2 linked regions of the Schizosaccharomyces pombe genome follow. Changing the gene in region 1 together with any one later gene gives a genetic interaction. Each region holds a gene or a part of one and is shown on either strand. Other genes may lie near its edges.

Region 1 (6,396 bases):
GCAATCAGAAGTGGATTCTTATCGGTCGTTTGGGGTTAGCTGAGTCTTTTATTTTTTGTTTCTTTTTTTAAAATGAATCTACTATTGGACGACATCTTAGCAATTTTCAGTTGATTTTTTGCAATTTAAGTTCATTTCTTACACAAAATATTCAAATTTATAGTTATGAAACGTATCCGGGATGTGTTAGTTACTCATGTCCTATTTTATGATATGAAAACGGCATAAGATATTAAAAAGAAAAGGATTCTACAAATATTCTTAGTGATTACTATTTTTCATTTTTAACGCTGCCTTGTTATATCGGCTTTTGTTTACCAAGTGTATTAACTCGATATCGAGTATATTTTGATGTATACGCATGCTATACTGATTATAAAAAATTATTAATCCACAAAGTCTTAGAAATTATGAGAACTAAATGAAATACTCTTTAAAAATAGAAAAAAAGTTAAAAATATTTATGTTTCAAGTTAAACAACAATGTAAGGTTCTAGTGGTAAAGTAAGTATGTTTATTATTAGGTCGCGACGCGAGAGTACTTCGTATTTTGACAACAACACACTAAAAGTCAGAAATCAGAAGGCTATAATTTTTTATAGCACTAGAGATTTTGGGTTATTTTATATTAGAACCTTATAGTTTAAGGGTATAATTGCTTTTTTCCAGTCCTTTAAATTGTTTCGGTCGATAGGATTGATTCATGGAGAAAACATATGGGAAAACTGTATTGCCATTGAGCAGAGTAAAGAGGATAATAAAGCAAGATGAAGACGTACACTACTGTTCTAATGCATCTGCTTTGTTAATTTCAGTAGCTACTGTATGTGTGTTGTTGATAAATCAGCTATCTGGGCGACTTAGCACCATTTTGATTGCATAAAAGAAAAAGAAAAATAAAAGCTTACCTATTTTATGATTTAGGAATTATTTGTTGAAAAGTTAGCAACAGAGGCTTATCAACTTGCCAAATTACAAAAACGTAAAGGAATACGATACAGGGACGTTGAGGACGTTGTACGTAAGGACGATCAATTTGAATTTTTATCAGATTTGTTTTCTATATAATTAAAAAGTGTGAGAACTGGAAAACGGAAGCTTAAGTGTTTCCTTTCTTGTTCAGAAACTTCCTCATGAAATGAAAGGAAACAATCATCTTGTCAGTAAAATGTGATTTAATGAATTTTATTTGAGTTTTCTTCTTCGTTTTCATGCTCTTGTGTCTTTTTATCCACAATGCGCATTTTCAAACAGCTTTATCAAACAACTACTGTAGCTATTTGGATAAAATAGAACACATGTTCTCTTAAATTGGGTTACCTGATTTTTCATGTTTCAATCATGACTAATTTGCGGCCTTTGTTAGCTACATCTATAAACAATCTTAATGATTAGGAAATGGTTAAACGTTTGAACTCGATTGAAAGATATTGAAAAGCTACCAGCGCCCATCTGTATATTCTTCATTTAATTCCTTTCTCAATATCATTTGGTTCATTTATTTAAACAAAAATGCAGAGAAGGTCGAGCTTCTTTATCTAATCCCAGCGATGCAGACGTATTGCTTGCTTCATGGTTATATTCTATACCTCCGCTACCTTGCCGTGATAATGCCGTAATCGTACATTACTATACTCGAAAACTGATTTAAGATTTGTTCTGTTCTAAATTTCCGACTACCGAATGAATTACGACACTCCACCTTGTTTCGTTAATACTACTCCATTACTAACAATTGCGCAAATACTGAAAGCAAACCAGAACCAAGTAGAAAAAATGTCGGTTTACTCATTTTCAGACGTTAGTTTAGTTGCAAAGGCACTTGGTGCATTCGTTAAAGAGAAAAGTGAAGCTTCTATTAAAAGGCATGGCGTGTTCACTTTAGCTCTTAGTGGAGGAAGTTTACCAAAGGTTTTGGCTGAAGGATTGGCTCAACAGAGAGGTATCGAGTTTTCCAAATGGTAAGTTAACAGATATTATATACTTTTGAGTTGTATGGATTCACTGTGGTTTTGTTTAGCTTTGGTTGACGTGAAACACTCTGTCTTAAGGCAATTTATGATTAACAGCTCTATTTAGGGAAGTTTTCTTTGCTGATGAAAGAATTGTTCCTTTAGATGATGAAAACTCAAATTATGCGCTCTGTAAAAAGTTGATTTTTGACAAGTTTGAAGGATTTGACCCTAAAAAAATTCATACCATCAATCCTGAGCTTTTGAAAGAAAATCCTATTGACCCTCAGAATGTTGCTGATGAATATGAAAAACAATTAGTGCATGTGTTTGCAAATAGCTCCACTGTTAAGGTCCCTGTGTTTGATTTACTGCTGTTAGGATGCGGTCCTGATGGCCATACATGTTCTCTATTCCCCGATCACGAGGTACTCCAGGAAGACGTTGCTTGGGTGGCCCCAGTCACTGATTCGCCCAAACCCCCTAAAGACCGCATCACTTTGACTTTACCGGTTGTCACACATGCTCAAGCCATTGCCTTTGTTACCACAGGTGCTGGTAAGAAGGATATTTTGCCTATTGTCATTGAGGATTTTACATCTAAACTTCCAAGTGCGCTGATCACTCGAAACAATTTGACTCGTACAAGCTGGTTTGTGGATGATGAAGCATCAGCCAATCTTGAGAGATCCTCTTTGAAGGTTTTCCCTCAATAGGCAGTTCAATTTAAGCAGGTGGCCTTTAGAATGCTTAATTGCTACATGCTTCGGATTCATTACTTGTTTCTTTAAGGTCTTTCAAGGGAAAGGTTGCAGTTCTCTTTTGTTGTTCGTGAGATTCTTTGCATAAACGCTTTAGATAATGACTTTCAAAATGCTTTCAGTCACTTCCGTGGAATGCTTGATGACCAGTTTTAACACATGTTAGTAGATTAGGAGAGAACTTGTTCCTCAAATCCTCTTTGCATTTGTTGTCTGTTTTTTATTTTAGACTAGCGTATAAAGGTTAGTCTTGTAAACAATGTGTAAGAAGCTAATGCTTTATTAAATTGTTTTATTGCTTCGTTTAGAATCATGTTTAGTTGATTGATATCACTGGCCAAACCCACACTGCAGAAATATGATGTTTTAATGAAGAAATGAATCATTGAAATATATAAACTTAAGCTATCTTGTATCATTTTTTGTTGGTGATAATGTTCTAAAATGTGTTTCATCAACAAGATAAAGTAAACCAATTGTTTTTGAATTGCAGTGATATAGTTTAGCTTCAATTCTTTTATTAAATCATTAATTCATTTTTAAAATTATGCAAAATTACGGCATTTTCTCATACTGCTTATGATAGATTTTAAGCAAAGATGGAAATTTATATCCAAAAACATGCAATTGCTTAAACTCTCCTTTATGTAAGGGTTTATTAATACTTATGTGTTTTCTACAGATGGCAACCTTCTGATTAATTATCATTAGGTTAATTTGTGATAGAAGCTGTAGTGATCTTAATTACAATAGTTTACATTATAGCAAGATGTTCGACATGACTCAATAGACTAAAAATTTTTTTTCTTAGCATATTCTTCAAAACTGTAGGTCTTAAAAACAGTTTTGTTAGCTTAACATCACCTTAAGTCGTTAGTCATCGTAGAGGAGGCACTTGATATTTCCATCGCACAACATGAACTACCAAAGGCTTGAAAAGTTAGGTAAGTATGAGTTTGAGGTCCCAAAATTTGCAATTTCATTAACTTAAGTAGGAGAGGGAACATATGCGCATGTTTATAAGGGGCAAAATCGAGTGACTGGTGAAATTGTCGCTCTCAAAGTTATTCGTATTGATGCAGATGAAGGAACACCTAGTACTGCTATCCGTGAGATTAGTCTTATGAAGGAGCTTAGGCATCCCAATATTATGTCTCTCTCAGACGTTTTGCAAACCGAAAATAAGCTTATGCTCGTTTTTGAATATATGGAAAAAGATTTGAAAAAGTACATGGACACTTATGGGAACCAAGGAGCTCTTCCACCTTCTCAAGTAAAAAATTTTACTCAACAATTACTCAAAGGGATATCTTTTTGTCACGAAAACCGAGTTCTACATCGTGATCTGAAACCTCAAAATTTGCTTATCAACAGTCGTGGTGAATTGAAATTGGCGGATTTTGGGTTAGCCCGTTCAATTGGAATTCCAGTGAATACTTTTTCAAACGAAGTGGTCACCTTATGGTATCGTGCTCCTGACGTTCTTTTGGGTTCTCGAGTATATTCAACTTCCATTGATATTTGGTCAGTTGGTTGTATCATGGCAGAAATGGCTACAGGACGTCCTCTATTTGCTGGGTCAAATAATGAGGATCAGCTACTAAAAATCTTCCGATTATTGGGAACTCCTACTGAACAATCATGGCCCGGAATTTCTTTACTTCCTGAATATAAGCCTACTTTCCCTATTTATAAAGCACAAGATCTCGCCTACCTATTTCCAACATTTGATCCTCTTGGTTTGGATTTGTTACGACGGATGCTTCGTCTACAACCTGAATTAAGGACGACCGGCCAGGATGCGCTTCAACATGCTTGGTTTTTAACCGCATAGGCTGTAAATTAACATCAAAAAGTTTAACCAAATTACGATTTTATTTATTCATTTCAGTTTCCTATTGAAATCATTAATTTTTTTTTTGGAAAGAATGCATTTCACCTAGGGAAAGAGCACAATATTTTTGGACGTTCAAATTTCTTCGCAACTGTTTTAGCCCAAGTAGCTATCCCTATTGATCTTTTTTAAACGAGGTTTAGAGGTAAATATTTGGTTATTATTTTGAGAGGATTTGAAGCTGTCGAATATATTTTTAGCCAAGAATTAAACGGCGTTTTATTTTCTACGATTAAAATATCGTCGCTGATGACATTCAAGTCGTAAATGAAATACTTAAAGAATTGAATGATCCGCATTGCGTCTGACATTTTTATGAAGGAGCAAAAGGATAATATTCAAAAAGCAATGCGGGTTTTTAGTATACTGATAATAATTTGCGGATTTCAAGCAATTATCCGCAATGCACATGAAAAACAATCTTTTTTCACTTATTTTTATTAGTGGATTAATGGCTTCCTTCCCTATTATTTAACTGCATGAAGGGATTCTCTATTAATGTTCTCTTTAACCATTCGACATTTTATGTGGTTTCTGTCGTTCATTATTCTTTTTATTTACTTTCATCTATACTCCATCTTTTCAGTTTTGAGGCATCAATGGTAGGAGGTGACTAAATTTCTTTGAGTTTCGTTTAGGAAGAAGGTTCAATTTGTAAACATGAAATAATAATTGTGTCTTTTACAATTTCTTTTGAGTTTTTCTACTCGCTTGGCCCAGCAATCTATTGTTTAAGGAGATATACGGATTTGGCTTATCGTATTTTTACGACATCTTCTACCTCGCCAAATCTTTTAGTTTTACCCATACTGCTAGAATTTACATTACATGAAAAAATGACTGATACGCGAAAATTCAAAGCTACTGATTTATTTTCATTTAACAATATAAATTTAGATCCTCTAACGGAGACCGTAAGTTACCATCTACCGTACTTAAAGCGGACTTTCATTAACTCGAACAACTTTTAGTTCAATATTTCATTTTATCTCAGTTATTTGAACAAATGGCCTAGCTTGTGTGTTGTACAAGAGTCTGACCTATCTGATCCAACCCTTATGGGTTATATTATGGGGAAATCAGAAGGAACCGGTAAAGAGTGGCATACTCATGTTACCGCCATTACAGTAGCGCCAAATTCCCGTCGTTTAGGCCTTGCTAGAACGATGATGGACTACTTAGAAACTGTAGGAAATTCTGAAAACGCTTTTTTTGTTGACCTGTTTGTGCGTGCCAGCAATGCACTTGCAATTGACTTTTACAAAGGATTGGGGTATTCGGTTTATAGACGAGTTATTGGGTACTATAGTAATCCACATGGAAAGGATGAGGATTCATTTGATATGCGGAAACCACTTTCGCGAGATGTTAATAGAGAAAGCATTCGAGAGAATGGGGAAAATTTCAAATGCAGCCCAGCTGATGTTTCATTTTAGTTCACTCTCTTTTTACAAATCTATTAACTAGTGCAAAGGAAGAAGATTTTTTTTTATATTAGGTAAATGGTATAGTATGTACATCATATTAATGAAAATCAAAGTTCAGAAACGACTAATATTTGCTATGCTTTAAGACCTCGGTCCTTTTCCTTGCTTACATATTGATATTGTAAGTATTTGAAGTTTTTGATTAATGATTATGCAACTCTTTGGAACATTTTGATAATTTATCAATAAAATAATGTATCACTACACAATGGTTGAAATTTGCGTTCAGTTTCCTTTAGATAAATAGCAAATCGTCTACTAGTTACTTTATTTCTCTAATGTGAAATGGCAAACTAAATAAC
Region 2 (6,651 bases), 1.4 Mb from region 1:
GACATATAGTGAAACGCAACGTAATATATCATAGCTTAGTGTAGTATTGCTGACAATTTGCGGTTTTGTTCGTAACGTGTGGAAGAAAAAAATAAAAAATGAGGTTTATGAACGATGAAAAGGACTAGATTTTTGATATAAAATTGATAATAGGTATACTTTTCTTAGTTATTGGAAGGATTAGTCACGGGTTTCAATTTGGCCTTTACTTCGACAACTGGTAACAAAAGATAAAACACAGAGACAGAGAATAAGCAACAATTAATAGTCAGTCTTAAGTCATTCCTTTTTCAGGCTGATTATTTTTTTTTGGTTTGAATGCTTCATCAATCTGTTTTTGCTCGAAATGCGATACAATATTTAGCTTTTTAATTCTTAAAACTTTTAACTTAAGGTAAGCGAAGTATATTGTTTTATAATTGTTTAGTGAACCATCGTGTAATTATACTCTTATCTTATTGAATGAATAACGATTCCTTGCATTTCATTATTAAGAAAATATACTCTACTATGTTTAAATGAATTTTTACCTGTGCAGCGTAAATTGCGTTTTCATCAAAAACAAATAATATTAACTACAGCATGGGACGTGGTGGTAAACGCACTTGGTACAATGGTGATCGTCGAGAAGCGAAAAGGAACCGACCTAATTCTATATACAATGGAGAAGGTCGGCCAGAGAATTTGGTAGTTGGAGAAAAAAAGCCGAAAAGAAAGGTCGCCTGTCTTGTAGGTTATTGTGGTAGCGGATATCATGGTATGCAATTGAATCCTCCTAGTAAAACAATCGAAGGAGATCTTTTTGATGCTTTTGTGAAGGCTGGTGCCGTTTCTTCTTATAACGCTGATGACCCAAAGAAAGTTGCTTTAGCAAGAGCCGCAAGAACTGATAAAGGAGTTCATGCCGCTGGAAATGTTATCAGTCTCAAACTTATAATGGAAGATGAGAAGTTAATTGAAAAAGTGAACGAACACCTCCCTCCTTCCATTCGCTTATGGGATGTGATCCGTACTATTAATTCTTTTAACCCAAGGACTTATTGCGAATCTCGTATATATGAATATATGGTTCCAACGTATGCTTTTGTTCCACCGAAACCTTCGTCCATACTTGGAAATTGCATTATGAAGAATTCTCCCATGCCTGCTGAGCCAATTAACAAGGAAAATATAAATCAACTCAGTCGTTCATTATTTTATGAAGAAGGAAAGGAATTTTGGGATGATTATGATATTGCAGCCAAAGAGATTTTGAGCCTTTATGAACAGGATCCTGAAGGCTTCGTAAATCCATATTCTAAAAGGGGAGCTGCTGCTCTTGCTAATTCGGAAAATAATAAGGGCTCTGAAGCAGGAGTTTCCGCTAAAACTAATCCAGATATGGATTCCGATTCCTCTGCTATTGTAAACGAGTTTTTAAAGCCTGACTCTGTTGAAGACGAATCTGCTGGTTCCAAGATTGATCCCAGTTATCGTCTCGAACGTGCACTTAAGCACATTGAAGTACTTAAATTAAAAAATTACCGTATTTCCGCAGATAGGCTGTCCGTTATTCGAGAAACTTTAAACCAATATGTTGGAGTTCATAACTTTCACAATTTTACTGTGGGGCAAGCATTTCATCAGAAGAATAGTAATCGCGTGATCCGTTCTTTTACTGTAAGTAAGAATTATCTTCTTTGTATTTATAGTATTCTTGACAAGTCTTGTTTCTAACATTCTAGGCATCTGATCCATTCATGATTGGCGATACAGAATGGATTTCATGTAAAGTTCATGGTCAATCTTTTATGTTGCACCAAATTAGAAAGATGATTGCGCTTGCTATTTTAGTTGTACGAACGGGTTGTCCTGTTGAGCGCATACAAGATGCCTTTAAAAAAACAAAAATTAACATACCCAAGGGACCTGGTTTTGGACTTTTATTAGAGTCACCGTTTTTTAAAGGTTATAATGAACATAAAGCTCCAGAGAATAATCGTGATCCTATCGACTTTACAAAGTACGAGCAAAAAATTACTGCTTTTAAGCATGCTCATATTTATGATAAAATTTTTCTCGAAGAAGCTCGTAAACAAGTGTAAGTATATTTTTTTCTTAAATTAACTAACCGGTTTAGATTTCATTGTTTTTTGTCTTTTATTGACAGTTATAATGAAGAAGATTTCAGTTATTTATCAGATATAGGCATTACTGAAAAGACGCAAGAGGTTTCCTCAAAATTGCCTGATGTTCTTTCTAGCGATGAAGAAGAAGATTCGGCTGAAAACAAGGATGATTTAGAGGGCTAAAGGATTGATTGTGAGACTGAGGATTTGCAACAAACTGATACCATAAACTTTGCTGTTTCTTTTAAAAAATTAGACTACAAACGTGTACATATATTTTTGGAGAATACTTGTTTCTTTCTTTTTTTTAGAATTGATTATTGGTTTTGGGTTCTATTGGTATTTTTATAGTTTATTAACTTCTACTTGATTATTCCAAATGTTAAGACCGTATGGTGCAATATACAAAATAAAAAATGAAAAAATTAATGAAATAGAAACTAGATGAACGGAGGAGAAAATTAAAAAGTCGAAAATGCGTGGTCAAGTAGACCAAAATGTAAACTATAATCTCATAAAGAATTTAAATCATCAACCGAAGCAAAATCAAAAGAATTTCTTTATAGTGGTTGGCGGGCACTAAAAGGAATCACTCGTCCCAATATAGTACCAGTAACTTGCATACCCTGCTCACCATGTCGAAATGCAGCAGCTATTAACTCTCTAGTACGAAAATACGAATGGCGACGTTTTACGGGTAAAAAAACTTTTTGCTCCAAAGGCTGATTGCCAGATTTCTGGAGAACATTCATAATGAAACTGACTTCTTCATCAGAATCAACAGGCGCTTGATGCTGATTATCTTCGGATTCTTTTGCAGTTTCGAGGATTTGTCGTTGTATTTTTACTTGGTTTTTCTTTTGACAAGCTGCAAGCAAAACATCGTATGGCTGAGATCTTCCCGGAACGGCTCGTTTGCTTGACATTGAATGCGTTTTACATGTGAGAGATCTGGCGCACATTTGCCCATTAGGAAGCAAAACACCGCATTGCTTTTCAACATCCACAGGACCTTAATTGAATGTTAGTATTAAAGTAAACAGGTACTCCATTCTCCATATTGAACAGCATAAACCAACATACCTTTGACCTTTGGATTCTTCTTCTTGCTAGCCTCTTTCTTGGGAAGGGCGGATTTTGTAGGCTTTTTGTTTTCTTCTGTCTTCCGACGTTTTGGAGGCATTTCAGGATTCTTTTGACCATTAACTGAATTCTTTTCATGATTCCCAGCTGAGCCCTTAGCTGTCGATTTAACACCATTTTTGATGGGTGCATTATTGCCATTGTTGACATCTTTGTTTAAAACCTGAGAATTCGCAACAGGCTCAAATTGAGGCTTAGGAGGTTTAATTCCATTGCATGAGCTATGATGGTCCTCAATATACTCTGATAGGAAGGGTCGGTCGCATTTTGTGCATACAACATAATCGAGTTCTGAATTGTTAGGATATGACCCATACTGAGGAAAGGAATCAGCAGGTAGTAAAATTTGAGTTTGATTCGTAATGTTAGAAGTTATTTCATCCTTTACCTGTGATTCTGTATTATCAACTCTTTGATCAGCGAGTACATCTTTGGGTAACCCATCCGGGTATTTCAACAAAACTTGCTCATTTCTTTCCCAATTTTCTGGAAATAACTCCAAAGTCTGTTGTTCTGTTAACATTTTATTGATAAGAACCGAGTTTATAAACAGAATTCTACAAAGTTGCCCTTTGTCAATTCCTTTGTAGTGGGACTAAATCTGTAAGTCAAGTGTATGTACGGTTTAATGCTTCCAGAAAGCAAAGTCTATAATTGCATTCTAATGAACTTTCAAAGGATTATGCTGACACATATCATTTCTGATAATTACTAAATTATACAGACATTGTCTTTAAGGGCTAGACTATGACTGACAAAAGAATTTTTGATCTTGGAATTGAGGACAAACTACGGATATCAATTTTGATTAACAATTCTATTTTTTTAGGTCCCTTGAGCTAAACATAGTTTATTATTAAGGTGCGCGCTTTTCCCGTTTTCTCGTACACTGCCAAGAATCCACAGATCATGAGGGTGAGTAATCATGAAATCCGGACTCCAAAAGTAGGCGGCTGAAAATAAAATACTGGCAGAATCATTTGCAAATAAAAAGATAGAATAAATAAGGAGAAATACTTAGTGAAATTCCAAAATTATTTGTTTTTTTTTACATCGTACCAAAACATCAAAAATTAAGGAGAGAAAAAAATAGAAAACGTGAAAATTAAGCTGAAAAATGCAGTAAGATTGTAGAAAGATTGAATTTCCAAGATGAAATGTTCCGCTGTTTATTTTCCGTAGATTTTACATATTGTTTGCTCAATTGAAGATTACAAACGATCGGAAAGTATGTTTTTTACAGAATCCCATGAAGAAGGAGAAAGTTTGTTTTTCAGTTCATCGTACGTACACCAAACCCAGTCATAAACGTTTTGCAGGTTAGGTACATCTAATCCATTTAATAAACGAGCACGTAACAAGAAGGTCTAGAAATAACTGGTTAAACAAAAAATCAACCCAGATAAAATGAGAACAAAAAATCCGTAGTCTTACCTTTTCTTGTTCCGTTTTTAGTAATGCTAATGGATGACGTGCAACTAGCCAAGTCAACGAATTTTCGTCTAATATATTTTTTAAAAGATCTTGACATAACTACAGTTTGTTAGAAAGGCCAATCTGCAGACTATGTAAACAAAAATTGCAAGAGTATTTGATAAATTATTTAGCATCAAATCAATAGTAAGTAGTCTCTTGCACTATATTGTGTATCTTGGAATCGAATTTTAAAAAATGTACTTACCAGATGCAGCGCCTTCTCGGAGCTTGTAACAGGAGTGTTAGGAAATTGCCAACCCGAGCTTTTAGATTTTTTTACCAACAAGTAAAGGGACTTGTCAAGCGAGCGAAGAGTGCTTCGCTCATCGTTTTTCGTATCAGCTTCTGTGACTCTGGATTGCAAGTGAGTTGCAGAATCCAATAATTTGTTAGACTCCATCTCTTTCCTTTCCTTTCCAAATATCGTCTCAAAGGGTGATTCTTTACCTTTTAGTGTTTTTTGTCGTTCTTGCCAATCTTTTTCACCCACCGATCCCTTCTTGAAATAAAATTCTGCAGGTAAAGGATCACTCAGCTCATTCCAAAGTTCCGCATTATATTTATATATAGATTTTTCGAATTCGGATGGTTGGCGAGTAAGAATTGGCGATCTAATTAAAATTGTACCCACTGAACAACCTAAGATATGTTAGCAATCATGTACATCAAAGGTAATTTTTTTATTTATATTTAATATCCCTAGATAATTCATTTTCATTTTTTAATTCTGTACCTTTTAGAGGAGTCGAGTTAGACAAGGGTTTAGAGGATTGAATGGAATTTCGTACAGAAATGTGAAATTGACGCGAAAAAGACCTCTGCATATTTATAATATTTCTCTTCAAGTACATTGTTTAAACTTAGTCAATTTACGCCAAGTAAATCTCCAAATTTCGGCTTTGTTTACTAATCCGGTAAAGACCACTTGGTAAAGGCAATCGACGTTTCGCTATGGCTAGCACTACCACCTGTTTTACCAGCGTACATTACACGCTTCGTTAAGTACTGTAATATTTCTTAGAGACTCTGTTGCTATCGTTAATATGTTTTAATAGATTTCTTTGGATTTCGTTATAATTCAATTTAACTCACTTAGAATGGGGAATTGCTGACGCAGTAAACCTTTCAATCCCCATAACAATGTCTGCTTCCGTCGAATTAAAACGTAAGAAATTTGGCTAAATTCTTCTAACGTGTGGATAGCTACAGAGAAGTTCAGTAAATTTCTCGAGGAGTACTCTTCGGTACCGGTTCGCGCCGCCATTATTAGCATTTCTAATGGTAAGTTTCCATTCGGGCTAGAAGAGTAAATTTTAAGTTAGTTGAAGTTACTAAATGATTTAGAGAATTCATTTGACGTGAAAACAATGGTTGAAAAATCAGAATCGATAGAATCTGATTTTAAGAAAGTCCGTGAATGTTTGCTCGGATCTGAAGAACCTGCATTTGTCCTCGTTTATGATGATAGCAAGAAAAATCTATTACAATTAATTTCCTATGTCCCTGAAAATGCGAATGTTCGCAGGAAGATGTTATATGCCTCTAGTCGTGCTGCATTTGTAAGATGCGTAACTCTTGCTAAACTCGACGAGTCTTATTTCGCAAGTACTCCGGAAGAGTTAGATTATCAGCAAATTATGAAGAGCTTAAGCAAGCAAGAGGACCAAAGTCCTTTACGACAAGATGAACTCGAAAGGAAAGAGTACAATGAGGTAGGTAAACTGTATTGGGGTGGATGGATTTTTCATACTTCTTTACCGTGGCTCGTAGAATTTATAGCTTCTACTCTTTTATTTGCATCTATTTTAACAACTATGTAGTCTATGCAATCCTCAGTAACTCATAAGCGTCCTTTGGTGACCCGTGGTGTTGCTATGTCGATTGATGATAAAGCCTTAAAGGCTCTTTCTGATTTAAAATCATC

What was found. A genetic interaction does not mean that the proteins touch.
Region 2: mutations in pef1 (region 1) and sgf73 impair growth when combined (synthetic growth defect), as found in Schizosaccharomyces pombe (2 studies listed by BioGRID, with this or other methods).

Annotation. Positions count from the first base shown.
Region 1 is NC_003421.2:684,125-690,520, forward strand, and holds pef1 (cyclin-dependent protein kinase Pho85/PhoA-like Pef1), read left to right. Parts: upstream 1-3,610; 5' UTR 3,611-3,629; coding exon 3,630-3,657; exon of another isoform or gene 3,658-3,708; coding exon 3,709-4,547; downstream 4,548-6,396. Other genes in the region: DNA polymerase epsilon Dpb3, read left to right, coding at 704-823, 925-1,068; pgl1 (6-phosphogluconolactonase), read left to right, coding at 1,777-1,961, 2,080-2,668; NatB N-acetyltransferase complex catalytic subunit Naa20, read left to right, coding at 5,444-5,521, 5,579-6,043.
Region 2 is NC_003421.2:2,120,083-2,126,733, forward strand, and holds sgf73 (SAGA complex deubiquitinating submodule subunit Sgf73), read right to left. Parts: upstream 3,849-6,651; 5' UTR 3,775-3,848; coding exon 3,192-3,774; intron 3,121-3,191; coding exon 2,669-3,120; 3' UTR 2,428-2,668; downstream 1-2,427. Other genes in the region: pus1 (tRNA/U2 snRNA pseudouridine synthase Lsp1), read left to right, coding at 583-1,659, 1,725-2,080, 2,120-2,291; mrpl17 (mitochondrial 54S ribosomal protein mL46), read right to left, coding at 4,463-4,618, 4,686-4,784, 4,933-5,366, 5,461-5,578; twf1 (twinfilin), read left to right, coding at 5,868-5,892, 5,931-6,008, 6,072-6,439, 6,548-6,651. UniProt on the Schizosaccharomyces pombe protein: Component of the transcription coactivator SAGA complex. SAGA acts as a general cofactor required for essentially all RNA polymerase II transcription. At the promoters, SAGA is required for transcription pre-initiation complex (PIC) recruitment.